Linked DNA regions of Ovis aries. The protein of the gene in region 2 purifies or fractionates together with the protein of the main gene of each other region. This does not show direct contact. Links are inferred from orthologs where the notes say so. Each region holds a gene or a part of one and is shown on either strand. Other genes may lie near its edges.

Region 1 (4,065 bases), on a different chromosome or scaffold from region 2:
GTTCCAGCACAGAGTGCGGCTAGTGTGAGGAGCGAGTATGGAGTGAGAGAGGATGCCATTCTGAAGCCGAAGACAAAGCCAGGTTCAGGGACACAGGCCCTCGCATCACAGGATGCCGGCCCGCAATGGCGCCCCACTCCAGTACTCTTGCCTGGAACATCCCATGGATGGGGGAGCCTGGTGGGCTACAGTCCATGGGGGTCGCTAAGTCAGACACGACTGAGTGACTTCACTTTCACTTCTCACTTTCATGCATTGGAGAAGGAAATGGCAACCAGTGTTCTTGCCTAGAGAATCCCAGGGAGCCTGGTGGGCTGCCGTCTATGGGGTCGCACAGAGTCGGACACGACTGAAGCAACTTCGCTAACGCTCCTCAGGAGCAGAGGCCAGAAACAGTGGAAGATCTTGTGGCCCCAGAGAGGCTGGGAGGAGGGGTTTGAGAGAAGGTAGGTGGTCTGGAGTCTCCCTGCTTCCCCAACACAGACCAAGGCATCTTGGCATTCAAGGGAGAAAAATAGACTTTATTTACAAGTAATAACATTTAGAAAAGATCCATCTCTGGCCCTTAAAAACCTTCCCATCACTCCAAATCCCACCCCAGCGCAAATCTGGGGAGGGTGGGCAATGGGAGCTGCCACTGAGGGCTGCCCCCCACCCTCCAAGGTGCAGGGCCCTTCTCCTGGAAAAGAGCATCCTTTGGGCAACTGGGTCCTTGGGTGGATGGATGCACCTGGGGGTGGGGTGCTCCCACTAGGTCAGTGCCCAGTCCTGGACTTCAAGAGCAAGGGCCCTTGCGAGGCCCAGCGGCCAGGAGCAGCAGGGGCCAGGGCCTGCTCCTCCAATGGTCCCTTCTAGATCCAGAGGCTGGGAGGACTGGCTAGGCCCAAGGACCCAGCCACACAAAGCCAGCCTCAAATCTGGTTACGATGGAGAAGTGACTTTACTCTAGGAAAACATCAGGAGGCAAGGCAGGGAGAGGACCCAGACTGCCCAGGCTCTGGGCCACTCTGGAGGACACAGCTGTTCACCTGGGGATGGTCCGGGTCCCGGCCAGGGTGTGGGCAGGCATCACTGTCTCGAGGATTTGGGCCACTGTTGGCCTGGGAGCTGAGAGAAGGCACTGAAAGGGACAGAAGGAGAAGGGCCAGGCGAGGGCAGCATCGGGAACACGGCGGGGCCGCTCACTGGCACTGGCTCTTCAGTGCTTCGCCTGGGAGAGAGAGACAGCTGCTCAGCGCCAGCCTGCACCCACTCCCGCTCCCACATGCCTGGACTAGGGTGGTCTCCTTGCTGCAGCCCTGGACCCATCTACCGCAGGCTTGCAGGGGCTGGTTTCACCTGAGCAGCTCTGGGTGTTTTATCGTCTGCTTTCCTCGAGGAGGAGCAGCTAACCAGAGGGGAGAGGAGCACCTGCTCTCAGCCCTCGCCCTCCAGGGGCCTAATCAGAGCCCTGGGGTGGCTGGGTGGGGGTCACCCATGCTCCTTACTGGGTTTCTAGGAGCCGAACCCTCCCGTCAGTGCCGCACCTTGCCCTTTGCCCGGGGGGTGGCGGTGGCGCTGGCTGTGGTGGTGGCGATGCGCGGAGAGCGGCGGGTCCCGCTGCGGGGATTGGGTGAGGCTTTGGAGGGGGCTTTCTTTGAGGCTGCCTTCCGCAGAAGGCTGTTCCCAAGCTTCTTGGGCGTGTTGAGGATGCTGAAGGCCATCGACTGGCGGCGGTCAGCCTGTTGGAAAGGGCTGTCAGACCGGGGGCACCACTGGCCACACAGTTGCTCTAGGGCTCAGCTGGCTGGGCCCCTCCAGGTTCTCCCTTCAACCCCCGGCTAACCTGTTTAACAGCTGGAACGGCCTTCTTCTGGGCCTCGGTAGTGCTGTGTCTGCGCCCTTCATGTCGGTCCCGGGGGGTCATGGGGCGCGGGAAACATGTGGTGGCCTTCTTTGACTATGGGGAAGAGGACAGTTAGGTCCAGAACACGAGAGACAAATGGACCATGTCCAGCCAGCACCTGTCTCCCTCCTGCACCAGGAGACTCCCCGCTAATAGACTCGCAGACGTGGCGGCCGCTAGAGAAGACCAAAGTCCAAGCCACCCACCTCAGGTGTGCCGGGACCCTGGTGGGTCTCTGAGGAAACCCGCTTGCGCTGCTGCCGTGTGGTGATGCCGGCGCCCTCAGCTATCTGGGTTGGCTGCATGCTGGCTCGGCGCAGGGTCTCCCGGGGGTCGCCAGTTTTTATCTCCTCATCTGTGATGGCAGGCAGGCTCAGGGAAGGCTGTGTGGGGTAGAAGAAGTGGTCGGTGGACCTGACTGAGCTGTTTGGAGATGGAGCAGGACCGCCCTAGAACTCCTCACTGGCCAGGCATCTGGAGCCTTCCTATTGCAAACGGCTCCCCCGCTGTTGTCTTCCTGCCTACACCCTGCACCAGAGCCACAGGAGCCATCCCAAGAGACCTCTGCAAACTCCAGCCCTCCACAGAACCTCCTCCTGAGTTCCTCCCTGCCTGATAGTTGACCAGAAGCAGGTCCCCCTCCTTGGCAGGCTGGGAAACTGGGGAGGGAGGTCCAGGAGAAAGAGGGAAGTCGGCAGGGGTGGGTCCCTGGCAGGGAACCCGAGAGCTCACCCTGGACTCCAAGGGGTAGCAGGTCTTCAGGTGCGGTGGGCATACTCGGTTGCGCTGCTGCAGCTCTGCAATGCGGTTCCAGTCATCCAGCTGTTCAGGCTCGTCCTGGCAGGTGCCCACATAGAAGCTGTTCCTGCCTGTGCGGGGGCAGGGAGACAGCAACAAGCAGGGCTGCAAGGCCAGCACGAGAGGGTGGAGGCAGCACCCCACCGGCCTTGGTGCCACCACTCCTGTCCTCCTAGCCCTTGAACTCCAGGCTCCAGCACCCCAGGGTCCTGCTCTGCTCCATGCTGCAGCTACAGGCACGAGGCTCACAACCATCTCTTCCCTGGGGACTGGCTCCCTGCCTCCTCCCTGGGGTCCCATGCCGAGGTTGTGACACCAAAAGAAACTATTGGAGGGCCAGGAATCCATACCCAGAGCGCTCCCTGAAGGCAAGAGCCTCAGAAAGGAATCTGAGGATAGACCCCTGGCAGTCTGGCACCCCTGGCAGCCCCTCCCCACCTGAGAAGGGGCCTGGAGCACTCTTGTGCAGGGAATCACCCGCCCCTCATGAAGCCTTTGGCTGAGAATGACATCAGCCTTACTGCCTAGCACAGGCCCTGGGTGAACAACAGGTAGGGAGGAGAGGGGTGAGGTGCTAGATCACGGCTTGTGCTTTGGCTGTGTCAGGATCTGTCTCCAGTTTTATGTTTGGGTGTCAGGCCCCCACAGTCCCCTCACCTGGAGGGGCCCCACTGGACATCCCGGCCTGGGAACGGCGAGCAGAGCTGCGAGTGGTGGGCCGGTAGCCAGGCAGGCTGAGCAGAGTGGAGTTGCCGTCGTCGGGAGAGCCCAGGCGGGCTAGAGACTGGGTGGAGGAGGCAGCTCTCGGGCCTGCCTGGGAAGCTGGAGCTGACTGTGTGCTGTAGAAGGAGGCGTTGGCACTGTCTGGATCCTCCACGTCCAGCTTCTGGAAGAGAGGATGCACCTGCTGCAGCGGGGCTGGGCCCTGACATCCTGGGACATCCCTGGCGGCCCACCAGCTGAGACTGAACCCAATGCAGGGGTGTGTGATCCCTGGTCAGGGAACTAGATCCCACATGCTGCAACTAAGACCCCCCACCAAGCATATCAACATTTTTTTGAAAAAGCCTCCCATTTCCTTTCCCAGAGCGCCTCAGATCCCATGGCTGCCCGTGTCCACACTGCTTTGCATAGGGTCCTCAGCTGCCCATCTGCAAGAAATGGGCCTTGTTAATCCCACACAAGGTGCTGAGGGTGTCAGGACTCCCGTCCATTGTTCCGTTGAGTCTGTTCACAACGCTCTGAGGGAGGGTGGGCCAAAAGTCTCAGGCTGTCTTAGAAGTGAGGTACACGGGCGTCAAAGGACTGGCCTGAGGGTCACAGCAGGGGACAGAGCTGGAGCTGGACCCTGCTTCTCCTGAGAGCATCAGGCTTGTCCCACA
Region 2 (3,500 bases):
TTTGGTAAAAATCCTGTAGCAAAGTTAAAAAACAAAACATTTAGAAATAGTTAAATGTATCATTTGGCTCTCCCTACTCCAAGATTTTAAAGGGTGTCTCACCTTTTTCCTTAGTACGTTTTAAACATTTTTTTTTAAACATTTCTCCCTTTGATCCATTTGGCGTTTGCTCTGTCAGGACTTTAGCTCCAGCTCACCCTCGCATCTCCAGGGCTGCTGTTTCCCCACCATTGTCCGCAGGCCCCTCTGGGGCTGCCCGGAGCTGCACTTGGTCCTGGTCAGCACAGAGGCTGGGCTCTGCTTCTGATCCCAGGGTCCTGTTCCTTGAGGCTGTCTGTCTGGGGGCTCCTGGCCATCTCAAGGTCTCCTGGCCATTTTCGTTTTTCTATGTAAATTTTAGAATCAGTTTGTCTAAATTAAAAAGAGTCTAGGTATGTTTATTGGAATCGCATTAAATTTATATTACCTAAGGTAAAACTCACATTTTAAAGAAAGGGTTCTATCTAACTGTCCGATAACTCTCCTTTTGTTCTTTAATTTCCTTTCAGATTCTCTTCCCGTAGCTCAAGTAAAATGACTGTTGCTGTAACTTTTTGTTGTCTAGTTGCCAAGTCGTGTCCAGCTCTTTTGCAACTCCATCTACTGTCACTTAGTCCTGACTTAGTGACACCTTCTCTCTCGAGACCAGAGTGTGTGTACATGAGGGTGTACAGACCCACATATGTCTTCTTCCATGAACTGCGGCAAAATATCAGTCTCTAAACCTACCATGTACTGGAGGAGGCATCCAGGCTCAAAGCCCGCATGTGCCTTTGGCTCATGATGACCTTGTGTCTGGCCTGAAGTAACTCCTTCCCCTTATGTGGCCTCTACCTTCCATGTGCTCAGCCTTTATGTTGACATTTTAGGGGCCCTCACCCGCGCCAGTCCAGGGTGAAATCAGTCATATGGTGTCAGTCTTGTTCTGGGACCTGGGACCGGAGCCTTGAATTTCCAGTTTAAAAGCATAACTTTGTTCGTCCTTTCTCTTCTCTCCTCATCAGCCTGTCATTTCCCGTTTAAGTTCTATGGCTAGAAGGATGGCTTTTTACATATATGTTTTGGAGTGATTTATTTCATGAATCCGTCGCTTGTTTTCATCCATATAACTTCTCATCGTGTGTGATTCTGGGTGGGGCGTTTCTGGTGTTTGCCTGTGTGCTCTGGAAGCCAGCACCCCAGGCTGTCCCGCCCAGCTGCTGTGCTTCCATCCTTGGTTAGGGCACCAGTGTGCTGGAGTGTGAGTCTCTCTGGTACGTTATTTGGGCGTCTTAAGTTTCAAACACTATATCTTGCCAAAGCCGTTTTATCTGACTACTATTTTTCCCTGCAGAAGTGCTGACTGCAGGCTCCCCCTGGGTTCTTGAATTGTGTGTGATTCGTAGAAACTGACTTGTAGAATTCCGAGGCTGTCCTCACTGTCTTTGAACCCAGGTTTTTAACAAGCGGTGTCCCAGTCTGTTCCCCCATTTGACAAGCTAGGGGCTGACTTCTTTAGAAATCAATAAGTTGTAGATGTCAGGATTCTTCTGGTGAAAAGAGGAAACTGATTTCTGTGTAGAGGATACATCAGTTGTTTCTATGGAGACATTAAAGACTCAAGTAAATGTTTATGATCAGAGCTCAGGTGTTCTGGGGGAGAGCTGAGGGGATACATGGTGAGTGTGCAGTGAGCCTGAAGGAAGCTCCAGAAGGTGAGCCACATGTTAGCAGGAGTGTGATGATGGGTCCTTGACTTTTTCCTTTGGAACAGGAGGAATGAGAAAGTAACTAGTTTACTTTATGTTTGGATGTTTTCTGTTTATTTTGCAGCTTTTCATGCAACACCCAACACTTACAAGCGGAAGAACACAGAGACGGCCCTCGACAATAAGCCTTGTGGCCCCCACTGTTACCAGCACTTGGTAAGCACATGCGGGGGGTTCTGGAGGGAGTGGAGAAGTCTGAATTTTGAATTTTCGTGAGATCTGTGAAGTCAGCGGTAAGCTGCTGTTCCCGTACTGTTACTGGCCACACGATAGGCAGAGGTTTTTCTCAGCCACGTTTCTTGGGAGCTCGTACCTGCTGCACACCCTAGTCCTTTGTTACCTTGCGCTATTCTCTACCAGCGTTAGTCTCTTCAGCAGTGGATGCAGGTCTTTAGGATCCGAGACTCTCGTGCCTTCCGCCAACCTTAGAGCTTGGGAAGCACAGAGAGCCCGCCCAAACCCCAGCAGCACAGAAGTGTCCGAGCCTTGCTCAGAGCCATCGCCCTTCTGTGCAGACCTGCTGTAGTTTAGCGCATTATATGTAGCTCCCAGAGATGAGGGGTGTGTGTGGTGTGTTTTTTTTTTTTTTTTTTTTTGTAATGATGGAGAGAAGGTAAGGGTGTAGGAAAATATGAGGTAGAAAAGTTGCTTTTTATGGGTACTATCTTATTTTTACCATTTCCCCTCTTTGAACCAAGCCACTCCTACCTAGGAACTAAGTGGGTATATATTGCCTGTTGGATTTTGGACAGAAGATTCATTGAATGGCACCTACAGAAGGTATCCTATTTTTAAGCAATTTGGTTTTTGTAGAATGAAGTATAAAACTGTTGGCTGCTCTCAAACTTCTCCCTTCTATTGCCACTAAAAATGGAATTCTTGAGCACTGTTGTATAATATTCTTTACAAGGCAGCATTTTATTTGGCTCACCTAAAGTGTGTCTGTGGTCTCTATAATCCGTGCTCTTACCGTTGTTGTATACTTTCCGAGATGGGGTTATTGCGCCTGGCAGCGCAGACTGTGACCCTCACTGCCTGTCCCTCAAGGGCCTTTCATGTCTTCCTGGGGCTGTGCATCCCTCACAGGGGAAAGGGGGCAGAAAAGGGACGGATGGAGCACGTGTATGTCTTGTATTCTTCTTGTATACTTCCAATGCTACCATAGATGAACGAGTGTTAGCTTACGAAGTCCCGAGACAGGAAAGGCTGACTTTAGATGCACACTGGGTGTATGGCTCCTCTTAAAGTTCACTTTTAAATAGACTGTGTTTCCTAAAATATATTCTGTATTTTAACTCCTAATCTCAGTTAATACAGAACTGTCTTGCCTGAGTTTGTAGAAGCCATATTTATCTTTCTCAAATCTTCAAACCATGGAAAGCAGATAGGAAGATGATTGTCTTTAGATGTGACTGCCTGTGAAAAGCAGATACTGATAAGTCTGACTAACATGCTTACCCAATCCTTTCCTTCCTCCTCTGCCAGAATGAGCTGTAGAACTTGACTTTGATGTCTCCGCTCTTGCTGTTGTAGGAGGGAGCGAAGGAGTTCGCTGCGGCCCTCACCGCCGAGCGGATCAAGACCCCCCCGAAGCGCCCCGGGGGCCGCCGGAGAGGCCGGCTTCCCAACAACAGCAGCAGGCCCAGCACCCCCACCATCAATGTGCTGGAGTCGAAGGACACGGACAGTGACCGGGAGGCGGGGGCTGAGACT
Region 3 (4,069 bases), on a different chromosome or scaffold from region 2:
TGTTTTAAAAAAATAAATACGTGTTTATGTTGGAGTGCTTTTCACTGACAGGAAGTCTGGAACCACTGCACTGCCCTGCACCAAAGCTATGATGAGGTCACCCCACGATGAACACCCCCCCAAAAAACACCTGCAAAATCAACATCTCCTGAAGGGCTGGCGTGTGCGCTCAATCACGTCCGACTCTGTGACCCCATGGACTATAGCCCACCAGGCTCCTCTGTCAATGGGATTCTCCAAGCAAGAACACTGGAGTGGGCTGCCAAGCCCTCCTCCAGGTCCCGAATCCATGTCTCCTAGGTCTCTTGCATTGGCAGGGGGATTCTTTACCACTGCGCCACCTGGGAAGCCCCCTGAAGGGTTGGGCACAAATGATTTCAAGTGGCATGAGGAGGAACACTTATTATTTTCATAATCGTATATGTATTGAGTTTAAAGAAAATTAGGAAAATGTATATAACCAGCACATCAAACCTGGGGTTTCTGGGATACAGAATGACTCATGTTTTCAGTTTTCTGAACAGTTAATTTACAAATACATACGTATGAACAAAACCACCTCCGAAAAATTGAGAGCTCATTACATGCCAGACTCTAGAGAGTGTTAAACCACTTCCCATACTATCTTTCCAACCCTCACAACAATTCTTTGAGCTGGCACCACTGTCTTATCTGTTTCTCAAGTTGGGGGACCTACTGGTAAGTGTCCTGCTTGAGGTCAAACTAGAATTTAGAGCTGACTGTGAATCCAGGAGGTCTAATTCCAGAACTAGCACTCCATAACACCACCTCCTATTAACTACTACCCCACACCCTTACTGTTGAGGGAATGAGGTTTGGGGAAAATGGCCTGGAAAGCTTTAGAAAAAAATTAAAAAAGAAAGCAAAACACAGCGCCAGCAACTAATATTTATTGTCTGCAACTCGCCCTCAAGTCCTGGGCCAAGCACTTCACACACAGGGCTACTCAATCCTCAAGAGTACCCTCCTCCTTCATCCACAAATGTTCCCTAAGGGCCTACTACACACTGGGCCAGGGTACACTAAAAGAGATTACACAGACAGCTCTGATGGCCCTTGGAGAAGAGATGTGTAATTACAAACAGGAGTAACTCCTAACACAAGAAAGGATCAAGATGACCATGTGCAAAAGCAGCAGAGGGGAGCAATGACTGGTCCCAAGTGGTCCAACACAACCTGGGGGTCCTCCCTAACCCTGAGTAAAAGCCCCCTCTTCCATGCAGCTACCTGATCTCTGGTTCCCACCACTGGCACCAATCTGCTGTGCTCCTCACACATGACAGGCCTCTAGTTGTTCCCACACTTACCACCTGTTCCCCTACAAGACTGAACAGGCTGCTCTGGGCACCCAACCTCCAACTACCAAACACCCAGCTGGGGCTCAACAAGTATGTGTTGAACAAGAATGGAAGAGACTGGACTGAACAACAACGATAGTGCTTCCCTCTTGACAGGAACCATTTTACAGGCTTTCACCGGCTCCATCTGTGCCATTATTCTCATTTCACATATGAGGACACTGAGAAGTTCCAAAAGATTAAGCTATTTGCCTCCTGTCACACAGCGAAGTGACCAGCAACAGCCAGGAGTCAAACTTGAATCAGGCCTGTCATTTAAAAGTGAAAACTTGTTTCAAATTCTTAGGAAGTGGCTCTCACTGCTTATTCCCTACTTTCCCCAATGATTCACTAGGGGGGGAAAATATCAAGACTAGTGTCTTCAAGACCTTCACAAAATACCTTCTCCTGAAAGATTCGCGTTTTAAATAAAAACCTTAATCTGGAAAATCGATTGGCAGAAAGGGGTAAGGACGCAAAACTAAAACAATGCTTTTAACGGCAAACAGTTCTCTCCGTCCTTCCCCACTGCTGCCGACCCCCGGCTTCAGGGCAAACGTTCTCAAGTCACTACTTGCAAGGGGTTAGCAGAGTTATTTACCTTTCCTTGAAAATCTAAAACGACGTGACTTTTAAAAAAATAACCATTCAGGTCGGCTAACCCAGGGGGGCTGCTAATGTTCGTGTCCGGGCGACGCTGGACACACCTGGGGTTTTTCCTACTGAGCTCCGACTGCAGGCTCGCCAAAAGGCAACATTCGAGTCGGACCCGTTAGAACGTAACCAGAAAAGCCCGGACGTCTGGCTATTGTTGCAGCCCCGGCGGACACCGGGATGTGGGCCCCTGGACCGCCGACGGGGCAACGCGCTTTGTCCAGCGACCCCGGCGAGAGCGCGCGCGGGGGGCGCGCGGCCTCCACGCGGCCCTGGCCCCCACCCCGCCGTCCCGCGGATACTGTAGTCGCCGAGGCCTCGCTGCCTGTGGCCTTCCCCGCGCGCGCGGTGCCGGTCAGGCTTCTTGACCCTCGGGCGCCGCCGTACCCCGGCCCGGCTCCGGGCGCCGGCGGCCCCCTCCCCCCTCGGCGCCCCGGCTCCATTCAAACCGTCCTCCCAAGCCCCGCGCCGCGCTCCCCCCGCGACCCACGTTCCTTACCGGGAGTCGCCGGCGCCGTCGCCTTCCCGGCGCCGCCCCCGCCCCTCCACGCGGGGCCGGGGGCAGAATGGGCTTCTCGCTTCTCCTCACGAAACAAAGAAGCAGCCGCCGCAGCCGCCGAGCGAGGGTAAGCCTCGCGCGCGCGCCCGCCTGCCTCAGCCGCCCCCCCACGCTGCCCGCGCCCCCGCTGCGCGCGCACTCGCCACCTCCCCTCCCCCCACCACGAACTCCCACTCGCTTCCGCTGCTGGCCCGTCCTCGTGCGCGTGCCCGCCCGCCCTTCCGCTCCTAGGGCGCGTGCGCGTCTCGCCGGGGTTGTCTGGGAGAGGTGGGTGGGGCCAGAGAGAGCTAGAGCGCCCGACGCGCCTCCCGACTCTGTGTGGGACGGTCATGCGCCTGCGCGCGGTGGTCTCCGTTCCCGCACGCCGCGCGTCTCAAAGCCGCCGAGCATGCGCAGAGCAGGCGGCACTGCGGCGGTGGTGGAGGTGGAGGTGGCAGCGGGAGGTTGGGGGATGGGGTGGGTGGTGGAGAGGTCTGCGGGGAAAGCGTGGCCGAGGGCCCCTGAGACTCAGAAGTGAGGCTTCCAAGGTCGTGCATGAAGGCAGGAGGCGGACAGGCTGGGGCCGGGGATGAGCAGAGCCGGCCCCTGGGCCAAGTGCAGGTCGATGTTCGGATGATGGCGGTGCCCGTTCGGCAAAGCCTGTTACGCAAAGACCGTGGCTATCTTTTCCGCACAACTTACCTAGGGCTATTAGTTTAGCAGATAATCTATTGACCTGCCCCACACTGAGGTACTGTAGTACCGAAGAGAAATCTCAGCCTCTGTGGCGCTCATGGTTTAGTGGGAGAGGCAGGCGCGAGGCAAGAAAACTTAAGTAAAATACACTGTGTTGAAATGGACACGTGAAGGGTCGGGGAAGTTTTAAATGGGGCAGCTAGGGAAAGCCTCTCTGCGAAGACATTTGAGTCAAGACATAAAAGCAGTGAGAGAGAGAGAGCTTTGTTCCAAGTGTGAAGGCCCAGAGACTAGGAGGCTTCATCTCTTAAATTTTGAGAGTATCTCTTGAGTCTGTATTCGTTGTTTCTAGCCCCACAACTGGACAAACGGTTCCCAGGGCCAAGTCCTGGAGCCTGTGACTCCCTACCCCTGCTTCTCTCAGGCCTTCCCCCTCATTTTTCAGGTCTCAGCTGACTCATCACCTCCCCTGGCCTTGCCCCCTCTTTGATCACCACCTCCTTTTCTTTCACATTTCTTGGGTAACCCCTTTAGTATCTGTCTCCCTAACCTCAATTTAAGTGGCGCAGTGTTGTCAATTTTAGTCCCTAGTGAAGAATACCCAATATCTAGTGTGGGGCCACCCTCTGCAACACACTAGACACCTTAAAAATATTCTTTTTTAATTGAAAATATATTAGCTTCTATGGAGTGTGTATCACCAGCACTTTGGGCCTTTCCAAGCCCAAGGTGAGGCCCTTAGAGCATAAAGCAGCAGCTAATATCTTGGCCTGAAGCCAAAAAGACCTGCGTTGAAAACCTGACTCTCCTTAGTACCTGGGGG
Region 4 (3,500 bases), on a different chromosome or scaffold from region 2:
GAGTTTCCAGGCAAGGGTTGCAAAAAGCTGAAGCTGATTGTAAAGCAGAGAACACACATTACTGTGCACTGTGTGATGCACAGTAACATGAGGAAAGCACCCTGGAAAGCCAGGAAAACTAAGGGGAGGCAAGAGCAGGCATGCAAGTCCAGCAGAAGAAAAGTGGCTTCCACAGCTACAGAGAGAGGGCAGCGTTCAGCCAGAAGAGTATTACTATTACAAAAGATGTCTCTAGTAGCTTCTGTAAGAACCCAAGTAACTCAACTGGAAAAATATTTCTGATCAAGAAAGGCTTGCCTATCCTAAAAGTTCTTCAAAACTGTATTTGAGTAATCCTATAACACAGACTTGACAGTCAGGTTTAGATATGCAGTCCCAAAATGAGGCATTTATGACAAAGTTACAAGTCATGGGCTTCAAAGTACAGCAAAATCACAAGATAATATTTCAAAACTCAGGGTTAAGACTTTTTCTCACCCTCACAAGCCTAATATGAATAAGAAGAGAAGCAATGGAAATTTAAACCAGACTATTAGACTTTCCTTTACTAATATTTCTCTGAAACAAACTATGAAAAACTCTTTTATGCCAAGAACTGTACAATGCCCTTAGATTCTTCTACACAAGCATGATCCTCTTTACCTAGAGAGGGCTGTTAGAGAACACGAAGGCAAAAAAAACGTCCCCAGGAATGAATGGGCAACCTGTCTATCATAGGAGGCAATGATTAGGAGGCAGGTGCACAGAAGGGCTGTGTGTGGACACAGTGGTCCCGCTGGAAGACAGAGATGGGTCAGAGCAAAGCTGCCGCAGAGACCTGGGGGAAGGCAGAGGCTGGCAGATGAGCAGCAGCAAATACCAGAGTGGGGGGCCTATCAGAAAGGACTTGGTGCTGGAGTCAGGACAGACAAGGAGGAAGAAGAGCCAGAAGGAGCGGGAAGCTGCTGGTGGAAAAAAGCTCCAGGAGGAGTTGTGGCATAATTACCGCCCTGTGACTTGCTAGTCCTGCTGCTGTCACTGCCTGAGAAGGCTCCACAGTGTCCTGTTGCTGTCGCCACTCGGAAGGCACGGTAAGCGCCTGTCGCTACAGTTTCCCCATAGGGGCTTCCAAAGCCACAGACTCCTGTGGGACCCGGGTGGAGAGAGATGGGAGAAGCCATGAGGAACTGGGTTCAGGGAAAGCCACCAGTGGGCTTTCAGGCAGAGAGACCCCCATATCCTTCAGTTGTTCTTACACCATCAGCTGCCAGGGAAGAGCCTCCTGACCCTTCTGCTCACCAGCAACACAGAAATGTCACCTTGCCTGCTCTTGGAGGAGACTCTGGAGACCAAACACTATTGCTATGGGCTCTGCCACAGGCTTGGGAGGCAGCCTTAATGGAGGACAGCCCCGCTGACCCCACAACATGAGAAAATCTAAAACCACAAATGTCAGCAGAGTTTTTGGCTACACTGACCAATTTAAATATCATATCTCTGCAATAGCTTCTATAGCTCCCACTCCCTTTCCCATAACGTAATCTCTTCCAGGATCAAGTTCCTTTCTAATGTGAAGAGCTGTTGCTGCAAACTTCGTAACTAAGGCTGAGAATTATTTACAAGGTCTCAACATAGCAGGATACAGCTCACTGAGAAGGCCTGCATGTTATGTGTGTGTCTGTCTCCCCACACTAGCAAGTCTGTACCTACAGTGGTGGACACACTCACCTGCAAAGCCCCGCCCTCGGCCCTGGGCCGGGGGGACGGGCCCGAAGTGCCGTGGGTACACAGAGGTGGGGTAGAAAGGCAGCGCCGCTGGCGGTGGGAAGGGGAGTGGGTGGCTCTGCCGGGAGAAGTTCAGCCCTTCCAGGATGCTTTGTCGCATCTTTTCTACCTTGGCAGCTTGCTCGGCCTGGAAGTCAAGGACTGGCATGTGAAAACTTCATTCACAAATTCAATTCAATTGAATTGGAATGAACAGGAAAGAAATAAGACATGCTGACCACTATGCTTTGCCTACATGTGTGTTAACCGCTTAGTCATGTCCTACTCTTTGTGACCTCATGGACGGTAGCCTGCCAGGCTCCTCTGTCCGTGCTTATTTACCCATAAATAACACAGCCACAATCTGCTCAGTGATACTTTTTTACAGAATGAAATGTTGCTGCTGTTGTTGTAGTATAGTCGTAAGTCCTGTCTGACTCTGCGACCCCATGGACTATGGCCCACCAGGCTTCTCTGTGCATGGGATTTTCCAGGCAAGAGTAACTGGAGTGGCTTGCCATTTCCTTCTCCAGAGGATCTTCCTGACCCAGAGACCGAACCTGTATCTCCTATGTCTCCTGCATTGTCAGGCAGATTCTTTACCACTGAGCCAGCAGGGAAGGCCACAGAATGCAAACATGATCACAAAAGCAAAAAAAAAGCCAAAAGAAAGAAAAAAAAGATACTTTATCTCACAATCTTATAAAACAAGAATTTAAATTTCTACCTACTCAGTATATCTTTAGATGAGAACCACTTACTATAAAATTTATTAACTGAAAACAAATTTGTTTCTCAAAATCAATGACTAAGTCCAGACAAGTCATGCTCACAGCCTTCCTTCCACTCATGCACCAGGGAGTAGATGATGCCTAGTTCACATCTTTAAATTTTACTTTCCTAATCAATTTAATTTTAGGTCAAACATTCACTTTACAGAAAAAGAACTGAGGCAAAGAGTAGTAGATGCTTCTTAAGGAATGCCTGGAGCTCTTTAATAGAGAAAGGACAATAGACCAATTGACCTGTCCATGGGGCTACCAGTGAGGTAGCCTGCACAAATGTGAACAATACAACTTGTGTATGTCACATCATACTGTGAAAAAACACTGAGTGTCTTTTGTTAATAAATACATAAATATGTATGTGCTAAGTCGCTATACCAGGAACCAATCTTTAATCAGAGAACCTGAAATCCTGCTTACTCTGTAAATTTGTCTTTAAACTGACCTTAACTTAAGCAGCATGTGGAAGAATACATGTTTTGTAGTCTAAGGTTAAAAAGCAAAAAGCTTGCAGCATATGTGAGCTTCTTTTATATACAAAGGGACAAGATAACCTCATGACCTAATTCACTTTATTTTTAAATTAGAACTTTAAAAAGTACAGTCAATCCTGACTATTCATGAGTTCCACATCTCTAAACTCAGCCACTTGCTAAAATTTATTCATAAACTCAAAATCAATACTCCTAGCATTTTCATAGTCATCTGAAGACATTCGCTGAGTGGAACAGAGCTTGAGTTGCCACCTAAGGTTAAAGAAAGCACAGCACTGTCTTCATGCTTCAGTTTTTATACTGTAAACATGTGTCCAGTCACTGTCTCCTTAGTGCCACAATTTCTGTGTTTTTGTGAATGATTTTGCTGTTAGAATAGCACAGTGCTGAGTATTGGCTAGTGCTTCCAAGTGCCAGGCTGTGATGTGCCGTACAGAGAAAATGCGTGTGTTAGTTAAATGAGCTTTGTTGAAGCTGA
Region 5 (4,152 bases), on a different chromosome or scaffold from region 2:
CAGGCCCCATTCAGGTTGCCAAAAAGATCATACTAATTAAAAAATGTGACTGCTCCCATGACCTACCAATACCAAGCAAAAAAAAAAAAGAAATAACCTAATACATAGGAAAGCTAACTAATGTTCCTAGGAAAGTGGGCTTTGTCAGAAAATAAATGATTTTGGAAAAATGCAGCTTAAAAACAAACAAACAAAAAACCATACTATAATATGAAGGAAAAAAACAAAAACTAGTCAGTGAAAAGACTGGTAAAAGATAAAATCACTGATGTTACTATCCTGAGAAAAGGAAAAATAATGAAGCCATTTTTCAATAAATGAAATTGTTAAACAACACATTTTTGGTAAAAATATGACAGGGAAAGATATTCGGGGAAGGGTCAGCTTCAGAGCCAGATGTGGGTTCTATCACAGATTCTACTTACAAGAAGACTCAATTTCCCCATCTGGCAAAAATACTACTGACAGTCAGCTGGTACTTGTTACAACATTACTGTTCATAGTTAAACTCTAATTCCACTTCACCTTAAAAACAGCAACTGAAAGGCAAAACATTTAGTTTAGGCTTTAAATTATTCCGCTTTCTGATATTTCCTTAACACTTCTAGTGAGACTGAGACTTTGGCTGCTACTCCAAAATTCGAATGATAGCCTCTTTTGAGAGGCTGACAACAGTGGACAGCAATTTGCAAAGAAGCGCGGTTCGTGCTCAGTCGCTTCAGCTTTGTCTGACTCTGCCACCTCGCCAGGCTCTTTGTAGCGCGCCAGGCTCTTCCGTCCATGGGATTCTTCAGGCAAGAACACTGGAGTGGGTTGCCATGCCTCCCCTCCAGGGGATCTTCCCAACCCAGGGATCGAACCCGCGTCTCTTTTGTCTCTTGCACTGGCAGGCGGGTTCTTTACCGCTAGCGCCACCTGGGAAGCCCTGAGAACTGCGTATTTAACACAACTGCTTTCAGTGTCAAACTTTCAAAGCCCCTTAAACAAGGAAGCGGGAATCCAAGTTAACCCTAGCAATTCAAAACAATCATTTAAAACCTAAAGAAAAAGAAAACAAGCAACACTGACATGAACTGAAAACAAATTTCAAGTCGCTGAAAGCTATAGAATACCAGAGGTCCTATTCCACCAAAACCCACCCTTACCTTTAAAGTTCTTTCAAAAACTAATAACACGTTACCTCACCCTAGATAAGGCCGCTAGTTACACAGAGTAGGACTCCACTGAACTGACTTATGACCTAGTACAGCACCCAAATAAAACTACTGAGCCAAATGCTCTATGGTAAACTGCCCTGCCATTTCCTTATCGTGTTAATTCTGCAGCAACATTCCCTTTCAGAGCAGTATTACCTTTGCTCAATCTATCCAAGGATGGAAAAATTCCAGAAATCTCTGGGTTGCGACTATAAAATATCTCAAAACAGATCGAAGGCCAAGAATAAAATTGGAAGGAGCAAGCAACACTTTGTTCCCAGACATCGCAAAACCTTGGAGCACACCCAAAAGACCCGCCTGGCAGTTCCCCAATCTCTCCACCCTCGCAGTACTGTTACCATTCCCTGACCCACCAGCCCCAGCCCAGAAGGTAGGGAGCCATAGAGAACGGTACCAATTTTCAAAATAAGGCCAAGGCCCCCAAAGAGGAAATGCGCTGGTCTGTAAGCAAACTAACCGCCCCTCACTCACTAATTCATTCATCCATCCATCCATCACTCCCCCCACAAAATGAAATGGGGGTTCAAGACAGCTGCTGCCGCCGTGGTCGCTTCCCTTCCCCACGGAACAGTGCCTGGGAGGAGCCTCCTCTCCCTCCGAGGGAGCAGCTGTGCCCCGCTTATCCCCACTGCGCCCTCGGCCATCCAGCCCTCGCCATTGTTTCTGCGAAACAGATACCGCCCCCGCAAAGAACGGGATGAAGAAAAGGAGGCCCAAGCCCTCGGATGCGCTGCTTTTAAATGCCTTCCCCACCCCGCCTGTCTACCCCCGTACCTAGAGGGAAATTTCCCTCGCCCTCTCCCCAAGTTTAGCGGAAAGTAAAATCGAGATTCAGAGATGAGCGAGGGAATTATGGGAGTCCAGCTTAAAAAAAAAAAAAAAAAGGGTAGATCTTCACTCGGCCTCAGTAATCAAGAACATGTGTCTAATAAGAGCGTTCGAGGATTTGGCAAGGTTCGCCAAAGAGACAAATAATATAAACGTGAAGTGCCAGAAATCCACTTGAGGTTGCCTGGATTGCTTACGCGCAAGGGTGAGAGCATCATTTCCGACCCAAACGGTCTGAGGCCGTGTTGGAGTGCGAAGGGGTGAAGTTTGGCTCTGCGTCTCATCACTAGTACAGAGGCGAGGGAACCAGTTCCTCCTCCCCATCCTGCCCTCTTTCCACACCACGAGCCGCCCTCACCTCCATCTCCGAGTCCGCGGGGCCGGCGCTGGCCACGGAGGGAGCCGCCTGGGCTGCGACGCCCTCGGGGCCGCCTTTGTTGCTGCTGTTGCTCCCGCTGCCGGCGGCCGAGGCTGCGGGCTTGGAAGGCGCGCTCTCGGGAGGCGGGGGTGGCGGAGGGTCGGCCGCGGACGACATGATGTTCCGTCTGCGTCACCCGCTGCTGCCAGAGGCCGGGTCCGGCAGGGAGGAGGAGGAGGAGGCCTAGGCCTGGGTGGCTGCGTCGCAACGAGCAGATGGAGAAGCGAGAGGACTACCCGAAAGCCCCCTGCGCCGCGGCTCGGCGACGAGCCCAAACCAGGCCCAGCAACCTCCCCCTCTGGTCGCCCTCCTCTTCCGCGGGGCTCCGGGTTCGACCGGCGCTTTACCCCACGGCGGGAATCACGTCGACGAGAGTGGGCGGGGCCACTCGGGTCACTGAGGTCAGGGAAGGCGGGCTGATTCACAGGAGGGCGGAGGGTTGAGGGAAAAAGAAAGGAAAGCAAAGGAGGGACAGAGACTGGGAACTGGCTTAGCTGCCTCCTCTTCTTCCTCTGGTAGATATCATCTATCTCGCCAGCACTCAGTTCTACTACCTACGCCACCGACTATCAACACTCGCGAGATTGATAGTTGGCTACATGACTGGGCTCCGAGTGCGCATGCGCATTCTCCCCTCTTTGCCCTGGGCCACGCCTCCTTCGAGGCCCCAGAGAGCTCTTGGGTAAGGAATGGGCGGGGCCTCGAGGGAGAGATTGGAGACGTAGGTTTGTCCGTCGGCTTCCCGGCATGACGCGAGCGCTGTCTTCCAGGCGTTCTTAACGGCTCAGGGTCCACCGGCGCCTGGTCTGCTCTGCTTGGCAGGGATCTGCGGCACTCCCAGAAAACTTGCCCAGGTTTTGCGCCGCCTACTGCAGTATAGAGGCCTGTGCAGGCCTTAACACTTTCGCTGCCGCCGCTCATAGGTGTGACGCCAATGTGTTGAAGATGGTTTAGTTATCCCAGTTGACGTCTCTTAGGTTTTGTTGTCTAAACAAAAGGGCCCGTTGGTGTAATATTTTTTTGTCTACACGTTAGCTATAAGAATCATTTCTAAATTCCTTCTACTTCTCTTACAGAGTTAAACGATATTTTCTCTGAATTTACGTGCTAAACATAAGCAAACTGCCCATCACCATGTGAATGAGAGTCATAGATAAGAGTCATAGATAATCGGTAGATAAGAGAGGCCATGGGCTGTATCTTTTGCTCAACCACTAAATATTAAAATGTACAGACTGCTGTGCATTTCTTTCTCCTTAAGAAATACTTCGAATAATTTCCAGTGGTTACGCCTTCCACTGTCCTCAACATAGCCTGTGGGTCTTGCGCACGGATCTGCTGCAGGTTATCAAGAACATCGTGTTCTACTCAATAGAAAATCGTACTGCTGTGAATTGTTATCTGCCCTGCACAGGCTCTTATCCATCTTTGTATCCCCATATCCAGTATTCTATCAGTATGTATTGAATAGCGGAGACACACTTTTCAAGAGTTAAGATTTGAGCAAACTGTTGATTATGTTGAATTTCAAATAGAAGAGCTCTCCTTTGAATCTGTAGCCTGCAAACTTTTAACTGATCAAATGATAATTTTTAAGTTGAGATCTGGAAAAATGCCCCCCAGCCCATTAGAAATACTGTTTGTGAGACTATAAGGAACCATCTAAGGATATATGAACAGAAAAATACA
Region 6 (3,500 bases), on a different chromosome or scaffold from region 2:
GCGTTTTCGGGCCAGTTCTGGGGGCCAGGAGCTAAGAACCTGTGTCGGAGACTGTTGTCCACTATTCTAGGTGCTGCTCCCTTTTTTCTTAGCCGGTTGGATAGATGGCGGCCTGTAACCTTGTTAGAGGTGCTTTAGGATCTGTGGCCTGCACTCTGGGTAGAGGTGATGAGGAAGCTGAGTTTCAGAGACTTGCTGTGGGCTTCCATCCCGCAAGGAAGGCCAACCTTTTGGGTGTCAGAAGGTTGTGTACTCTGACACAGTACCGCCAAACTTTTGTTAAACCTTAGCTCTGATGATTGAAATCCTAATGATTGAGGGAGTAACTCAGGCCCTCATGTGGGGTCACCCTTCAGGGTGTCTTGGGTATCCTTGTCTAGGACATTAGAATGGCGTCTTGCGAACTGTGTCATCCCAGGGTAGTGTTAGGAGAGGTGGCGTTTGGACGTGGGGCCAGGTGATCATTTGGGAAATCTATGAGAGAGTAGTCTTTTCCCCTCCGGCTACCTCTCTCCACCCAACCCCCCTCCCCTGCTACTTCCTGTCTGTCCTCTGTTGGCAGCTGGGTGCCCTGGGCTGGCTTCTGTGGTCAGGAGCCATTTTCCCTCTCTTCAGTGGATGAGGCATTCCCTCCTCCTCCACTCCCTTCTCCACTCCCCCCTCCTTGGGCGGGGGTGGCTTGGGAAGGAGGGAGGAGGGAGCTGGTGCGCTGGTATGAAGGTCTGTTACAAAGGAAGCTGCCTCCTGGCCTTCTCCCCCACCCTTGGTGCCCCTTCCCACCTATGCCTGCCCTGGAGCTCTCAGCATTACCCCAGGCTTTGTGTGTGCTCCTAGCCGGCAGGAGGCGGAGCCAGATGGGAGGAGGAAGGGGGGGGAGATGGTGACAGCTGGGCTGATTTGGGCCCCTGGGGAGAAGAGGCTACTGACCCAGGAGAAGCTAGGAAGGAACAGTAGAGCTGGAGATGGGGAAGGGAAGTCCGATTTGGGGGTGGGCACGATACTAGGCTGGCAGCTGAACCTGGGGCTTAGAGTTTCTGGTGGTTTTGAGCAGTGATGAGCCAGAGGGGGTTAGTGAAGGATGTGGTTTCCGGGACCACTGAGCAGGTACTGTTCTGGGAATGTGCTGAGGGTGTTGTCTTTGGTTGTTGTTTTCTGGGTAGGATTTTTCATTCTCATTCATGGTTTCTGGAACATAGGAGGGCTGGACCTGTTTCTTTCCCTTGGTTAACTGTATGCAGCTTGATTCGGCTGTCCTGGTGAACGTATAGAGGACTTCTGCTCAGGGTCTGGGGAGCTGCCTGAGGTGGGCCCACTTTGGCCCTGCAGGCCTGTTTCAAGGATCTCCAGCTCTCTGTCTGTTTCTGTCCCGAGTATCAGCTTCCACTGGTGGCGTGTGTAGCAGCTCTCTCCAGTGGAATCTGGGACAAGAGGTGGGGGAATCAAGACTAAAGCCTCTGGATTAGGCGCTAACCTTTTGCTATTGATCTCTTCCCTGCATACCATTCTTTGCTAAATAAATGTAGAAAACGAAGAGGACCCAGAAGAGGACTTGTCAGAAGCAGAGACTCCAAAGCTCAAGAAGAAGAAAAAGCCTAAGAAACCTCGAGACCCTAAAATCCCTAAGAGCAAGCGCCAAAAAAAGGAGGTGAGTGGGTGACTGATGCCATGGGGAGTAGGAGGAAGGCAGGAGGAGCCCTGAGAAGGGCTGGAGGGCTGCGGCCTTCGCTCGCTGGCCCTGGAGTGGGTTGCCAGGTCCCAGGCATCGCCTCGGCGCTGTCCTGAGGCCAGCATGTGTGTAGCATGTGTGTGTCTGTCTCCCTCTCCCCCCTTCCCTGCTCCAGCGTTTGCTCTTATGCCGGCAGCTGGGGGACAGCTCTGGGGAGGGGCCCGAGTTTGTGGAGGAGGAGGAAGAGGTGGCCCTGCGCTCAGACAGCGAAGGCAGCGACTACACCCCTGGTAAGAAGAAGAAGAAGAAGCTGGGCCCTAAGAAGGAGAAGAAGAGTAAATCCAAGCGGAAAGAGGAGGAGGAGGAGGACGAGGACGACGACGACTCGAAGGTGCCTGCGTTTCCACCTTCTTCTCTGTTCTTTGCTTCCCAGACACTCTGCTGCCCCTGAGATTGAGTTCTCTCCTCCTGTTTCTAATGATTTGCTCTTACCCTCAACTTGCCAGCCTTAGTTGTGGCTCACATCCTCTGGTGAGTGTGGGCACTCGGAGTCAAGCCTTGACCCTGCTCTCTCTACAGGAGCCTAAGTCATCCGCTCAGCTCTTGGAAGACTGGGGCATGGAAGACATTGACCATGTGTTCTCTGAGGAGGATTATCGCACCCTCACCAACTACAAGGCCTTCAGCCAGTTTGTTCGGTAAACAGGAGGGTCTTGGGGATGGCATGGAGTGCACTTCCATTATCTCTTGTTGCTTCCATCGCCATCTTTTATTTTTAAACTTTTCCTCTTTTCTGTTCCTGCTGTTTCTCCCCCAGACCCCTCATTGCTGCCAAAAACCCCAAGATTGCCGTCTCCAAGATGATGATGGTTTTGGGTGCGAAGTGGCGGGAGTTCAGCACCAACAACCCCTTCAAAGGCAGTTCTGGGGCTTCTGTGGCAGCGGCTGCAGCGGCGGCAGTGGCTGTGGTTGAGAGCATGGTGACGGCCACTGAAGTGGCACCGCCTCCACCCCCTGTGGAGGTGCCTATCCGCAAGGCCAAGACCAAAGAGGGCAAAGGTGAAAATGGGACCCAGTGGAAGTGGGGGCTAGTGTGGTTGGCAGACGTGTGGATGTGCTGTTCTGTCAGCCCAAAGATAGAAGCCAGGAGGGAGGAATGAATCTTGGGTTAGGAGGGAAATTTGGGAAGCTCAGTGTAGAAATGTTTTAGGTGGGGCGTATTTTGTTGGCTTGGCCAAAAAGTTCCTTCGATTGTTTTCCATATGATGGCTCTAGTCTCGTTTAGTTGTCCTTTTTTTTTTTCATTTGAAACAGTTTTATTAGGTCGTATTGTGATGGTTGTCATATCAGTGTGCATTTAAAAAAAAAACTACCAAAATTGGATTTTTGTGTAGTCATTTTAGTATTGAAGACAAAAGAAGAAAGGCAACATTTTGGCATATTACGCTTTATTATTTCAAGAAACATGAAAAAGCAACTGAAATGCAAAAAAAGATTTGTGCAGTATGGGGAGAAGGTGGTGTGACTGATCGAATGTGTCAAAAGTCATATGCAAAGGTTTGGGCTGGAGGTTTCTCGCTGGACTATGCTCCATGGTTGGGTAGACCAATTGAAGTTGATAGTGATCAAATCAAGACATTAATTGAGAACAGTCAACACAGTAATGTGAAACAGAAGAGATCGTGAGGCAAGTGAAATGAACCACCACCAACTACATCAAAGACTGGTCTCCATCCTAACAAAGGTGATGTTGTGTTTGTGGTGGGATTGGAAAGGAGTCCTTTATTAGCTCCATCAGGGTAAGGCAAGATTGCATGTTTCTTTGATGACAAGG
Region 7 (3,500 bases), on a different chromosome or scaffold from region 2:
TGTCAGTGATTGGAGAAGGGAGTTGAGTACCTGCATTCTAGCTGCTGGCAGACCACCACATCTTGTGATTTTTAACAGGACCATCTCCTCTAAATCACATCCTAGGAGCCAGTCTTCTAAGGGGTCCCAGCACATGGCTGTCCTGCCCTTTTACAGGTTTATTAAAAAACAGTTCATTCTGCCCTGGCCCCCTGAAGAACTGAACAATCTATTTCTCAGTTCAAGTACCCTGTACCTGTTTCTGTCCTACTGGCAATCTTACCTTTACGATATTCACATTTTACTTCTTATATGTTCCAACTTCCTCCTTTTCAGCCCTGACCTCACTACAAATGGTCGCAAACGAAAATGAGTAAACATCAGTTGTTTGGTTTAAGCAGTTAAAAGTGTTAAGTTTTACATTCATCAGTTATCTTTTCAAATGCTCACAATGCTATGAGAGGTAGATATGACAATGCAGTCAAATTCTGAAGCCTGTATCTTTAAAGGTCTAAATTAGCAGAATAAAACCAAGGTATACCAATTTTCTGGGGCAGAGTTTTATACATTTGACCCATCTGTCAAAGAGCCAAAGAATATTGTGAGTGCCGAAGCAGACTTTGGAGAAGGAAATGGCAACTCACTCCAGTATTCCTGCCTGGAGAATACAATGGGCAGAGGGGCCTGGCAGGCTATAGTCCATGGGGTCAAAAAACCAGTCAAGACACAAAGGACGAACACACGAGCAGACTGTATACAACAGAGACTTACCTGACTAAATCAACAGCAATTTTTCTACTTCTGACTTTTGCCACATTGATAAGCGTAAGTATTCTATGCTTTTTCTGGTTTTCCCCGTGGAAGACTTCACCAACTTACAGTTAAGCCTTCTATAACCTAGTGCCCACTAAGTATCATCTACCTTTTAAAATTCTCACCTTTTTTTTTCCCCCATTCACCCATTTTTGTAATTATACACAAATATCAGTTGCTTGGATGGGTGTTTCCCGAACTTGCTGCAGTCCTAGTTTGGAAATACCCAAAGGCTTATTCAACTGAACTAAAATTTATTTATGGCAAATGATTAGAACACACAATACATTTGTCTGAAATTTCTTGCCAGTTTTCACAATGTATGGTGAGTGAAGAGTGTTTTAAGCAGGACAAGATTGCTGCATCTAAGAGCACAATTTTCTGTCTTAAGGTTTTTCACCATAGGTTAATACTTGTGCACAATGGTCTTAAAAGGTAGAAAGTGATTTCATCCATATTAATACAAATTGGTAAGGACTTTTCATGAGTCAAAACAGAGCAGATGCTATTTCTGATAGTCAGTGGAGAAGAACCAGATGTTTCCTAGATCTGAAACAGCAACAGGTTAACAGAACCTGGAATCTACCTGGCTCTTCTTCACTCCAGTTGTTTCCTTGGACAGGACATTTAATCTCTGTGGTCCTTGTTTTCCCACCTGTACCTGAGAAGGAATAGTCTCGTCCCTAACTGAAATCAGATACTGAAACAGAAAATATGTCAAGTCACTGCCCCTCCGTAAGCACCCAAATCTTGTCATTTTCACCATCTAAAACTCTTAGCAGAGAACAGGGGAGCACTCAGTAGTCCCAGCTAAATGCTTAACTTCTCACTCCCTAGAGAAACTCAAGGTACAGGGCACAGTTAAGACACCATTTCTTCCCCGTATTATTGAAGATACTGTTTATCTTTTTCTAGCTTAAAATCTCAAATTTAGTTTCTCTAAACACAATCAACTATTAAAATTTACCTGCATGAAGTTAACACTAACTAGCTTGCCAAAATTGCTCACTTCCTGCAAATATTCCTTTGAAACTGAAGCGTATTGTACAGAGTGAAGTAAGTCAGAAAAACACCAATACAATATAATGCATATGTATGGAATTTAGAAAGATGGGAACAATGACCCTATATGCGAGACCACAAAAGAGATTCCTGTAAAGAACAGACTTTTGGACTCGGTGGGAGAAAGCGAGGGTTGGATGATGTGAGAGAACAGCACTGAAGCATGTATATTACCATATGTGAAACAGATCGCCAGCCCAGGTTCAGTGCACGAGGCAGGGTGCTCAGGGCTGGTGCACTGGGACAACCCTGAGGGATGGGATGGGGAGGGAGGTGGGAGGGGGGTTCAGGATACGGAACACATGAACATCCACAGCTGATTCATGTGAATGTATGGCAAAAAACACTACAATACTGGACAGTAATTAGCCTCCAATTACATAAATTTACAAAAAAAATAATAGTTATACCCTCAAAATGGCCCAACAGCCTTTCTTACCATCAAGGCGTTTACTAATCTGCTCCTTTGCAAGTCTAGCTGGCCAGCATTTTCTCACTGTTTCAGCAACTGAAGTTCTTTCATTTTTCTCCCCAGAATCGGAGACAGCATTCTGCAAATCTGGACTCTCCAACTGTTCGTCAGCACTCCCAATGCTTCTAGCAGAAGTCTGCACCTGCTGTGCCTTTTCTGTGCCATGGTCTTTTGATTCAGACACATCAGCATCATCGACATTACTCTTTGTTTCTTGGTCTAAAAGAGCGACAATCACTGAAGAATCTGGTGGTGAAGTTCTTTCTGGTGAACTTGAGCCTTCTGAAATATTGAGGGGTGTGGGTGGCAATTCTGACAAATGTGCCAACTCTTTTTGTATTCGAGGAGGTTTTTCAGTAATTTCTGAAAGCTTCACAGGGTTACAGCAAAGTTTGGCATATTCGCCACCTAACCTATGACACAGTTCATTAATAATTACGTCACAGTCTCCAAGAAGCTCTACATCAAAATGCAGATGAGGCAAAGGTTCCCTATTAATCAATATCTGAGGCACTTCATGGGGTATGGAACCTAAGATTAGGGTGAAAAAAATAAGAATTAAGAGAAAAGAAGGGAGGTGCACTTATAAAACCAAAACAAACACAGTATGTAAACTCGTAACGGAACTTCCTGGCCAGTTCCGTGGTTAGGACCCTCTGCTTTCACTGCCATGGCCAGGGTCCTATCCTTGGTCAGGGAAACAAGTCCCTGCAAGCCAGAAGAAACCTAATGCTTCCCAATACCAAAAGAAGACGCCACTCTAATCGAGCTATTATATACCATCACACTATTAAGTCAATAGATGAGCATCAAAATTTCTTCTAGCACTTGATTACCTCTTGCCTCAAACGTCTACATTCTGTGTTCAGTTTCCCTGTATCCCTGTCTGTATAATAGGGTGACTACTGCTCCACAAGATTGCAGTGAGGAGTAAGTGACTTAATATGCAAAGTTCTTGGCTCTTAGTAGGTGAGAGTTTTCTCTACTTAAATGGCTTCTGATATAAAGTATATACCAGTCTACTCTCCACTTTTGCCTAATATCACCAACATGTTATACTACCCCACAGAAAGCTTGTCAGAAGTTCTCTGCTCTATGTTTAAACAGAAAAAAACTAAGCTTAGACATTTTCTTTTTAGTTACAAATTATCCTATAATCTTCTTGAATAGTTTC

The links.
Region 1: the proteins of EZH2 (region 2) and NUMA1 purify together in Homo sapiens (affinity purification with mass spectrometry; 3 studies listed by BioGRID and IntAct, with this or other methods). This does not show direct contact. The link is inferred for Ovis aries from reciprocal best matches to the Homo sapiens genes EZH2 and NUMA1.
Region 3: the proteins of EZH2 (region 2) and SMARCA4 purify together in Homo sapiens (affinity purification with mass spectrometry; 4 studies listed by BioGRID, with this or other methods). This does not show direct contact. The link is inferred for Ovis aries from reciprocal best matches to the Homo sapiens genes EZH2 and SMARCA4.
Region 4: the proteins of EZH2 (region 2) and FAM120A purify together in Homo sapiens (affinity purification with mass spectrometry, with the first as the bait; 3 studies listed by BioGRID). This does not show direct contact. The link is inferred for Ovis aries from reciprocal best matches to the Homo sapiens genes EZH2 and FAM120A.
Region 5: the proteins of EZH2 (region 2) and SMARCA5 purify together in Homo sapiens (affinity purification with mass spectrometry, with the first as the bait; 3 studies listed by BioGRID). This does not show direct contact. The link is inferred for Ovis aries from reciprocal best matches to the Homo sapiens genes EZH2 and SMARCA5.
Region 6: the proteins of EZH2 (region 2) and CHD4 purify together in Homo sapiens (affinity purification with mass spectrometry; 5 studies listed by BioGRID, with this or other methods). This does not show direct contact. The link is inferred for Ovis aries from reciprocal best matches to the Homo sapiens genes EZH2 and CHD4.
Region 7: the proteins of EZH2 (region 2) and SIRT1 purify together in Homo sapiens (affinity purification with western blotting; 3 studies listed by BioGRID and IntAct, with this or other methods). This does not show direct contact. The link is inferred for Ovis aries from reciprocal best matches to the Homo sapiens genes EZH2 and SIRT1.

The regions. Positions count from the first base shown.
Region 1 is NC_056068.1:50,370,775-50,374,839, forward strand, and holds the end of NUMA1 (nuclear mitotic apparatus protein 1), read right to left. Parts: intron 3,570-4,065; coding exon 3,341-3,569; intron 2,755-3,340; coding exon 2,618-2,754; intron 2,269-2,617; coding exon 2,092-2,268; intron 1,940-2,091; coding exon 1,826-1,939; intron 1,722-1,825; coding exon 1,527-1,721; coding exon of another isoform or gene 1,515-1,526; exon of another isoform or gene 1,500-1,514; intron 1,211-1,499; coding exon 1,199-1,210; 3' UTR 501-1,198; downstream 1-500. UniProt on the Homo sapiens protein: Microtubule (MT)-binding protein that plays a role in the formation and maintenance of the spindle poles and the alignement and the segregation of chromosomes during mitotic cell division.
Region 2 is NC_056057.1:113,168,873-113,172,372, reverse strand, and holds part of EZH2 (histone-lysine N-methyltransferase EZH2), read left to right. Parts: intron 1-1,851; coding exon 1,852-1,943; intron 1,944-3,320; coding exon 3,321-3,500. UniProt on the Homo sapiens protein: Polycomb group (PcG) protein. Catalytic subunit of the PRC2/EED-EZH2 complex, which methylates 'Lys-9' (H3K9me) and 'Lys-27' (H3K27me) of histone H3, leading to transcriptional repression of the affected target gene.
Region 3 is NC_056058.1:13,255,570-13,259,638, reverse strand, and holds the start of SMARCA4 (transcription activator BRG1), read right to left. Parts: upstream 2,801-4,069; 5' UTR 2,512-2,800; exon of another isoform or gene 2,440-2,511; intron 2,370-2,439; exon of another isoform or gene 2,315-2,369; intron 1-2,314. UniProt on the Homo sapiens protein: ATPase involved in transcriptional activation and repression of select genes by chromatin remodeling (alteration of DNA-nucleosome topology).
Region 4 is NC_056055.1:28,019,594-28,023,093, forward strand, and holds part of FAM120A (constitutive coactivator of PPAR-gamma-like protein 1), read right to left. Parts: intron 1,892-3,500; coding exon 1,708-1,891; intron 1,124-1,707; coding exon 986-1,123; intron 1-985. UniProt on the Homo sapiens protein: Component of the oxidative stress-induced survival signaling. May regulate the activation of SRC family protein kinases. May act as a scaffolding protein enabling SRC family protein kinases to phosphorylate and activate PI3-kinase.
Region 5 is NC_056070.1:14,460,760-14,464,911, forward strand, and holds the start of SMARCA5 (SWI/SNF-related matrix-associated actin-dependent regulator of chromatin subfamily A member 5), read right to left. Parts: upstream 2,801-4,152; 5' UTR 2,581-2,800; coding exon 2,404-2,580; intron 1-2,403. UniProt on the Homo sapiens protein: ATPase that possesses intrinsic ATP-dependent nucleosome-remodeling activity.
Region 6 is NC_056056.1:209,654,748-209,658,247, forward strand, and holds part of CHD4 (chromodomain-helicase-DNA-binding protein 4), read left to right. Parts: intron 1-1,523; coding exon 1,524-1,645; intron 1,646-1,841; coding exon 1,842-2,057; intron 2,058-2,245; coding exon 2,246-2,364; intron 2,365-2,483; coding exon 2,484-2,725; intron 2,726-3,500. UniProt on the Homo sapiens protein: ATP-dependent chromatin-remodeling factor that binds and distorts nucleosomal DNA. Acts as a component of the histone deacetylase NuRD complex which participates in the remodeling of chromatin.
Region 7 is NC_056078.1:23,655,092-23,658,591, reverse strand, and holds part of SIRT1 (NAD-dependent protein deacetylase sirtuin-1), read right to left. Parts: intron 2,858-3,500; coding exon 2,294-2,857; intron 1-2,293. UniProt on the Homo sapiens protein: NAD-dependent protein deacetylase that links transcriptional regulation directly to intracellular energetics and participates in the coordination of several separated cellular functions such as cell cycle, response to DNA damage, metabolism, apoptosis and autophagy.